Canis lupus familiaris: one gene and its partner. The protein of the gene in region 2 interacts with the protein of the main gene of each other region in a biochemical or structural test. Links are inferred from orthologs where the notes say so. Each region holds a gene or a part of one and is shown on either strand. Other genes may lie near its edges.

Evidence for each region.
Region 1: the proteins of TNNI1 (region 2) and TNNC1 are reported together in a solved structure, tested with the Homo sapiens proteins (2 studies listed by BioGRID, with this or other methods). The link is inferred for Canis lupus familiaris from reciprocal best matches to the Homo sapiens genes TNNI1 and TNNC1.

Annotation. Positions count from the first base shown.
Region 1 is NC_049241.1:37,719,630-37,724,063, reverse strand, and holds the start of TNNC1 (troponin C, slow skeletal and cardiac muscles), read right to left. Parts: upstream 2,863-4,434; 5' UTR 2,756-2,862; coding exon 2,732-2,755; intron 1,186-2,731; coding exon 1,155-1,185; intron 950-1,154; coding exon 803-949; intron 337-802; coding exon 222-336; intron 1-221. Other genes in the region: NISCH (nischarin), read left to right, coding at 4,336-4,431. UniProt on the Homo sapiens protein: Troponin is the central regulatory protein of striated muscle contraction. Tn consists of three components: Tn-I which is the inhibitor of actomyosin ATPase, Tn-T which contains the binding site for tropomyosin and Tn-C.
Region 2 is NC_049228.1:1,600,509-1,604,932, forward strand, and holds the start of TNNI1 (troponin I, slow skeletal muscle), read left to right. Parts: upstream 1-1,346; 5' UTR 1,347-1,516; coding exon 1,517-1,584; intron 1,585-1,862; coding exon 1,863-1,866; intron 1,867-3,985; coding exon 3,986-4,027; intron 4,028-4,424. UniProt on the Homo sapiens protein: Troponin I is the inhibitory subunit of troponin, the thin filament regulatory complex which confers calcium-sensitivity to striated muscle actomyosin ATPase activity.

The DNA of each region.
Region 1 (4,434 bases), on a different chromosome or scaffold from region 2:
GATGTGAAGGGGACCTCAGAGCTCATGGTGTGGGCCAGAGGAAGGGAAGAAGCCCCACCCATGATACCAGGAGGCAAGGCAGGGCCAGCACTGAAAATGGGGTGGGACATCCCATTTTCCCATTGCACAGAGTGGGAAACTGAGGCCTTGAGGTCACAAGACTGTCCCCCTTTCCCCACCTCTGCAAGAGTCAGGTCAGAGATCCTGGGTCATGCACTCACTTGTCAAACATGCGGAAAAGGTCGGACAGCTCCTCCTCAGACTTTCCTTTGCTGTCATCCTTCATGCACCGAACCATCATGACCAGGAACTCATCAAAGTCCACTGTGCCACTGCCTGCAAGGTGAGCAGCCCAGCCATCAGTGAGGGATGGTTAGAATGCTCTTGACACTAAACCCCTGTGCTCTTGCTGCGTGCATTCTCTCTCTTTTTAAAAATATTTTATTTATTTATTCAAGAGAGACAGAGAGAGAGAGAGGCAGAGACACAGGCAGAGGGAGAAGCAGGCTCCCTGCAGGGGAGCCTGATGAAGGACTCGATCCCGGGACTGCAAGACCATGCCCTGAGCCAAAGGCAGCCACTCAACTGCTTAGCCACCCAGGTGCCCTGCTGCATGCATTCTCATAGCAACTCCGTGAGACGAGTGTGGTCATTATATCCATTTCAGAAGATGACACGATTGAGGCTCAGAGAGGTTAAAAGTTCCTTCGAGGGCACAGAGTAATAAGTGGCAGAGCCAGGATTTGGGGCCCAAGCACTGGAGGCTGATGTGGGTCTAGGGTCTGGGGGGCAGGGGGCTCACCGTCCTCATCCACCTCGTCAATCATCTCCTGCAGCTCCTCGGGTGTGGGGTTCTGGCCCAGCATCCTCATCACCTTGCCCAGCTCCTTGGTGCTGATGCAGCCATCTTCGGCGCCCAGCACGAAGATGTCAAAGGCTGCCTTGAATTCTGTGTCCAAAGGGAAGGAGGGGAAGATAGAGTGGTCAGGGCTCAGAAGCCAGGATCCCAGAAGGCCAGACCTCTGGGGCCATCTGCCAACTGCCTTTTCCCTCCAAGACCTCTGAGGTTGCGGTGAGAGGGACCCCGGCCTCGGGGGTCCTCATGCTCCCCCAGCCTGGCCCTGTCGTACCCCCACATATGTTGGAGCACTCACCATTTTTCTGCTCTTCTGTCAGCTGTTCTACCTGGAGAGAAAAAGAGGTCTCAGGACTGATTCAGGACTTGGCTGCTATTAAGGAAATCAACCCATTCCACAGATGGGGAAAGTGAAGCCAGGAAGAGGCAGGCCATTCCCAGGTCACAGTCCTCAGTCCTCACTCCCTGTCCCCCGAAGTCCTGAGGTGACCCAGCTGGCCTCACTGAGGCTGGGCTTAGGGCCAGGGTGACAGGTGGGCGCCCCTTCCAGGGCCAAGGTGACCCCGAGTAACAATAGTCAGTGACCACTCAATGCCCTTTCGGCTCCCTTGGTGAAATCCAAGCTGGGTGGCCTGAGGGACAGCTGTCCCTCAGGTTGGGACAATAAAACCAGTGTGGGGATAGGCAAAGCCACCCACTGTAACCTGACCTGGACGGCCACTGGGCTATTTTTAACGGGGGACAAAGTTAAACCTGGTGATTGTTCTGGGGACTCTGGCATGCAGGGGGTGGGGCAGCATTATCTGGCCCCCTGGCCTGCTGGTGCCTCAGGAGCCAAAATTAGTCCCCAGCCCCACCAGGCCTTGTATGGGCACAGGGTGGAGGGCAGCTCCCTCCCCCGCCAGCTCTGTGGACTCCTGTAGGACAGGCAGGGACAGCCCTAGAGCCAGCTCTAGCTCTCCCCTGCCCGGAAGTGAGGCTGCACTCCACTCTCAGGGCTGAGGGAGGGGTTCCCTTGGGGACAGTTGTCTATGCCGAACATCCTTGCCTCTGGGACAGGGGGAGGTCAGCAACACCACCTACTCCTGGGAGGGACTAGTATCTGAGGCCCCTCAGTGACCCTAGGACGCTGCAGGGACTCAGGGTGACCACTCTCCAGCCCTCACCCCTGGCTAAACCACTGACCCCTGAGCCCTCCAGGCCTGATTGGGGTGGGGGCCCTGGTTCTTGATTCCTTTTTCCCTGTGTCTCCCCCATGCTTAGCGCTTCCCTGCCTACCTCAAACCTCTAAGCCCCTTTTCCAGCTCAGGATTCTGGATCACCAGCCCCCTTCTCAAACTGTCCCACCCTCCACAGCATCTTCAGCCATCCAAGGAGCTGGAGGTAGGGGGTGGGGTGAGGAGCAGAATGTGAGGGGCAGAAACGGAGAGGGGGATGAGGTGGGGACAGGGAAACAGAAGCAGAGACTCAGAGGGACAACGAGGAGGAACAAAGAGATAGAAAGAGACTGATAAAGGCAAAGATCCAAAAACCACAGACACAAGTGAAGGGAGATGTGGCTGGAAGATAGTGACACAGACTACAGACACTTGGAGACAGGGGCAGACGTGATGCTAAAAGTTATGACCTCCTCCACCCTCCAAAAAGCTCCTCTCCAGACCTTGAACCCCTCACCCTAAACCCCTCACTCCTTCTACACCCTGGAATTAGAATGCCAGATCCACCATCCATCCCCTTGAGGGCCTGGGCTGAAAGTTGCATGGGCCCTCTCCCAGGTCCCCACTACCTTTGTAGAGTGACCTCACCCCCCATCGTGAGTTGAGTGAGGCCCCAGTGGGCCCATCCACCCCAGCCCTGCCCAGCCCAGTCCCTCACCGCAGCCTTGTAGATGTCATCCATGCTGGCGGCTCACAGGGCAGGCTGCTGGGGTTGCCAGCCAGCCCTGGGCTTAAATAGCCCTGCCCCACCTCATTCCCCGCCGGCCCAGCCCACCCCAGCCTGCAGTATCCTCCACCCCCTCCCCCAGCCCTGGTGATCTCAGGCTGGCCTGAATCCCTGTGTCCTCTGCCCAGTGCAGGGAGCAGATGAAGGGCTGCAAAAGGACCACATCTTTTTCCTTCTGTCCCCCATGGTTCCTAGGGGACTCTCTGGAAAGTCTTCTTGAATGAAAGAAAACATAAGCCAAGAACAGGACAGGTGCTGAAAAATAGTGGGCCCCAGGCCAGGCCCCTACACACAGAAGTTCAATTCTTATCCAATCAGGAAGATGGGTAATATTCCCATTTTTCAGATGAGGAAACTTAAGCTCCTGGAGGGCTGGTGATTTGTTCGGAATACGTCTGACTTGGCAGCCCCCGTCTTAAGCTAAGCCTGTTGCGGAGGGAGGGTGCTGGCCAGCAGTATGCAGCAAAGAGAGGCCCTTTCAAGAGAAGCTTCGAATGCCAAGTTCAGAGTATGGCGTTGTGTAACCACCGGAGAAGGAAGTCATTCACCCACGTTAGCACAGAGTGCTCTGGAGCCCTTGGGCCCAGGGGTGTCAGAGCATCCATAGCCAAGACCTCTCATCTCCCCAGGGAGAACAGCACTAGCTCTGGGTGTGGGTAAGCTGCATTTGGTCATTCAGTGCACACATGTACAGATGCCCCATCCGTGCTAGACTTTTCCCCTTCAGCTGGGTTACCATCCCCCTCTTCCAGGTGGGGGTCTTCCCCTGGGTTAGGGCTCCATCTCTGTGTCTGTGCTTCCCCATTCCAGTACTATAGTTTCTAGGGCCAGGGCCAGCCTGTTAGCCCCAACGGCCAGCGCCCATCCCTCCCTCCCACCCCCCTGCGGAGCCCCGTCTCCATAACCACACCAGCTCCCTGCCTCGAGTGCCGGGCACTGCGTGGATTAATCCCATTCGCTACAGGAGGTCTCCAAGTCTTGGAGAGGTTAAGAGCTGGCGCCAAGTTACTGTGTCCAGCTCGGGCTCTGCGCACAGCTCCTAACTTCAATCCCGTGCGTGCCCTGCAGAGGATGAGCCTGAGAGCCAGGCGAGGGGCGACGGCTGACTCTTGTTCTGGAAGGGGAAACTGAGAGCAGGCGGAGCAGTGGCTTCCCTCGGGTGGCCCGGGCGGTGCGGGGCGTTCCGTCCTCGCTTCCCGGGCGCAGAGCCGTCCCCGCCCGGCGCCTCGGTCCTCCTGGGGGCGCGCGGGCCGCAGCCAAGGTACCGCGCCGCGCCGGCGCTCGGGCCTCTGCCGTCTGCGCACGCGCGCTGCTGGCGGCTGCTGTCAATTACGCGCGGGGGGCGGGGCGGGGCGGGGCGGGGCGGGGCGCCAAGATGGCGGCGGCGCGCGCGGCGGGGGCGGGGGCGGGGGCGGGGGGCGGCGGGGCCCAGGGGGCGGCGGGACGCTGACCCCGCCCCCTGCTGCTGCCAGTCTGCGCCCGGCGGCGGCGGCGGCGGCGGCGGCGGCGGAGGCTGCGGCAACGGAGCCCGGAACATGGCGGCGGCGGCGCGCAGCTTCGGGCCCGAGCGGGAGGCCGAGCCGGCCAAGGAGGCGCGCGTCGTGGGCTCTGAGCTCGTGGACACGTACACGGTG
Region 2 (4,424 bases):
GACCCAGCTGGGGATTCCTGTTCCGCCTCGCTCACCTGCTCCCACCCGAGTTATCCTTCTCCTTCCCCTGATCTTTTGCACAGTCCCTGCCCTCTACGGGAACGCTCTTGGTCCAGGCCCCGCAGGACGCTGAGCTGGGTCTGGCTTTGGAGTCGCCCCTTGTGCTGCCTCAAGGGACCCCCTTCTTGGCCTGGGTCCTCCAACTGTCGGGACTAAAGGGAGCCCCAGAACAACCCCCATCGGGGGCCTTCATAGTGCTCCATGGCCAGGGGCCCCCGCAGAGGTCCACGGGGCTCCTATGTACCCCTTCAGCCTGTGCCGTTTGCTCTTATTGCTGGAATTTGTTTTGCTTCCAATTAGAATTTGGTTTGAACAAAGGGGTGAAGAGCTTTTTTTAAATGGACAATTTGTCTAACCCCGATTCTTGCAGAGGAGAGCTGGCCTGGAGCGGGTCAGGATAAAGATGAGCATAGAAGGCAGGATTTGGTGGGGCCTCTCACCGTTCTACCCAGGGGTGTCGGTCACACTGCCGGGCCTGGGCACGGCACCCCGGGCACCAGGACATGGCCCAGCGTGTGCACGGCACCTCCTGGAGTTGTGCCAGGTGGCACTTACCTGTGCTCCATCTTGGCTCTGCACCATCCACCTTTCAGGCGGTCTCCTCCCTGGGGACTTCCGTGACCACCCTCAGCCCCAGGACACACTCTGAACGGGGCATGGTGTTTAGGGCACCACGATCTCAGTTTTCAGACAGATTTCTGTGGATTCCATTCTGTTCCGTGGGGGTTGGCAAACATTTCTGGAAAGGGGTTGATAGTAGATATTTTAGGTTTTGCAGGCCACGCAATGTTCTGTTGCATATTCTTTATTTTACAACCCTTTCAGCTTTTTTAAAAAGAGGCGGGAGGCAGGAGGGTTGGGTGGGGGTGGGGGACGGCAGATTTGGCCTGGGGGCCGTGGTTTGCATACCCCCCCCTCCCCCCCCCGCCTACATACCTGTCCAACAGAGCTCCTTTTGGTTCTTATATCCATTGCTTCTTTGCTTTTGTAAGATTGCTCTTTCTTGTGAGCGAATGAGTGAATGAATGAAAACAAAGAACCAATGGACAAGTGCTTATCCCATCCTCACCTGTTGGAATCCATTCCCCGGGAATCCTTCTTCCTGGGCCCAGCTGGGGCTGGGGAAGGCCTTCCACCTTTCCCACCTTGATGATTGCTTTGTGCCTCCAGGTGCTGCCCCCCCCCCCGACCGCCACCATGCCTGAAGTGTAAGTAGCGCCGCCCCCGCCCCGTCGGCCAAGCCCTTTGCCGCAGATTTTGGCCCCAGAGGGGAGGCACCTTCAGCTCAGCCCCCAGGAAGCCAGGTTCTAGAACAGGAACAGTCCTGAGACACCACGTGTCCTAGACTTTGAGCAGAACCCACGTCTAGGTTGCCTGGGGAAGACCTCTGGGTGTCTCTGGGCGGCTCAGGTGGCTTGCCTGTGTGCTGGGCCTCGATGTGACTTTGGCCCAGCAGATGAACATGGCTTTGGGAGTTTGCCCACGAGGCCAGGGTTGGAAGCTTTCACATGCTGGAACCCCGAGGTGAGGCTTCCCTGAGCGCCCCCCTCCCCCAGCTGACGGGCCGCAGCTCCCCGCAAGACCTCCAGTAGTCTCGAGGCCCCCTGGACTTTCATTCTGTCCTGCTGGCACTCTTGAGCTGGTCCCCTTGCCCGATGCCTCATTTCCTTCTGCTGTGTGCCTGGCACCACTCCGCCCCTGTCCGAGCTCGTCTACGTGGTTCTGCTGTTGCAAATGTGATACGAATTGCTCACGCTCTGTCTTTTGCTCTCTCCTGTCCTTCCTGTGATGGATCCCTAAAGCGAGGTAAGTGAGATCTGGGGTATGTCTTTCCTGGTTAGGTCTTCAGACTGGTGAAGGTGGGGTGAGGCGGGTGGGGGGGGTGTCCAGGGGCCGAGCATATTCGCCAGAGAATACAAATGTCGAGTGAAGATTCCGGGCAGGGGCTTCCGTGGGCACGGCCTCACCACAAGGTCATCCGGGGTTAGGGCTACAGCACGGCCGGTGTGACTCTGCATCCTTGCTGAGCGCTGGGCACGTTCCTCCTCATTTGCTCCGATCACTTGTCCAGCCTTGAGGGACCATCTGGGGTTTTTCTTGCAGAGCCAATCCTGTGCCAAGCCAGAGCAACAAGGGATTGTTGAAAGAAGGGGGTTCTTCTACCCGCTGCCCAGTGACCAAACGTTGAGAGAGGAGCAAAGAGGTGTCCTCACACTCCCCTCAGGTCTCAGATAATTCTGACCCTTCGACAACCCAGATTTATTCGGGTTACTGAGAGCAGAGCCTCTGCACCCCCCGGGCTGAGGAGCTGCAGGGACAGGGCTGTGGACTCTGAACTGGCAAGGGTGGGAATTAGCAGCCGTGGTGGACGGGGACCGGCACAGGGATTCCCAGTTACAATAGAACGCCCCACTTTTCCATAGTCCTGTGAATTTCTCAGTAGGAAAATGAGTGGCCACTGATGGGTAGTCACACGAGGTGGCCTCTGAGCTCACCGAGCAGTGAGGAAACGACATTGCCACGGGTGGGCGACGGGGCGTCCCCAGTGACAGGCAGTGATTCTGGAGGCAGGCCGTTTCTCCAGCAAGCACGCTGGGCTGATGTAGCCCGGACCTCACTTTGGGAGGCGGAAGGACGAAGCAACCACCCTGAAGAGTCGGATTGGGAATCCCACATTCCGTGCCTACAACATGAAGCCCATTCATTCCCCCCTTTCCTCCCTTAAAGGCCATTGGCTTCTGCTTTCACACTAGAGTAGCCACCGGGGTGAGGCCCCTGCACGCCACGTCCCCAAGGTGGCTGCTCGCTGGCCGCCACCAAAGTGCCAGCCTTGGGTCCCAAAGAGCGACGGGTGCTCAGAAGGCCTCCCAGTCTCGCGGGTGAGGGGGTGAGCACCCTCCCTATCCTCTCCCCTGAGGGGACATGGCTGCGCCTGTCTAGTTGGCTGGAATATGTCGGGGATTTTTATTTTATTTATTTATTTATGTATTTATTTATGTATTTATGTATTTATGTATTTATGTATTTATTTATTTATTTATTTATTTATTTTGCCGGGGATTTTTTAGTAGGAAGAGAAAACAATGTTTTTTTCCCCTTTTTTAATTAAAAAAAATTTTTTTATGAGAGTTCAATTTGCCAACACATCGCATAACACCCCGTGCTCCTTCCGCCAAGTGCCCCTTCAGTGCCCGTCACCCAGTCACCCCGAACCCTGCCCACCTCCCCTTCCACCACCCCTTATTTGTTTCCCAGAGTTAGGAGCCTCTCATGTTTTGTCAGCCTCACTGATATTTTCACTCATTTTCGAGAGAAAACAATGTTTTTTGTTTTTTTTTGAAAACAATGTTTTTAAACCTGAGAAAGAGTAATATGGATGGTGTCGATGTTAAAAAAAAAAAGAAAGAAAGTTGCGAAGCCTAAAAGGATAAACTTCTTCGTGTATGAAATTCAGGGCTTCTGTGCAAGGCGGGTCACCCAGGTGCTGGCTGCGACTGCCAGGCGCTAACCGTGCCTCCCAAAGCGTTTTCGCGTCCGTGATGTCACATGATGTCATTCTGTGTGTAGGAACTCCGGGAACTGAGGACGGTGGGTGGCAACATCATCCTTGTTTATGGACGAGGAAGGGAGGCGCCCATAGAAGTCATGTGACCCACACTGGACCCCCCCCCCCCCCCCCAGCACTAGAACCAGGATTGAAAAGTGAGGGCCTCAGCCTCTAGGTCAAGGTCAAGGTCGCCGACTCCAGCAGCATCCCCCGAAGTTGAGGGGGTAAATCACAAAGACGAGGGGCCCTTGAGGGGACCCTGTGGCGAGGGTTCTGGGTAGTGATGGTGAACTGGGCGGGCATGCGTGCTGGCCTCCACCAGATTTCCAGGTGTGCAGCCTCTCCCTCACCACCTGTCTCTCCCCTTCTCACCCACAGAGAAAGCCCAAGATCACGGCCTCCCGGAAACTCCTGCTGAAGGTGAGGCCTTGTGCTGGCTCTGAGGGGACATCCAGGGGGAGACTTAGGGGGGGTGCGGAGCAGTCTGTGGGGGTGCGGAGGCTTGGGGGAAGGTGAAGAGGAAGGAGGCCACAGCAGGAGAAGGAGGGGGAAAGGGGAGGGGGAGGCAGAGGGAGGCTGGCCTCACCTGGAGCCAGGTGGTCAGTAAGCGGGAGCCTGAAGCTGGAGCCCCGGCTCCTGCCCAGGTACTCGGGTGGAGGCAGCAACCAGCTTCAGGGGCCAATCCACTGGTGAAAGCCAGAGGGCCTTGCTTTATTTTGGCGAGAGTTTCTCTCTTTGGGGCTCCGTGGGCCCAAACAGGCCAGGAGTGGGTAAGAGAAAGACTGTGAGGGTGAGCAGGCCCCCGGGCCCAGCGGTG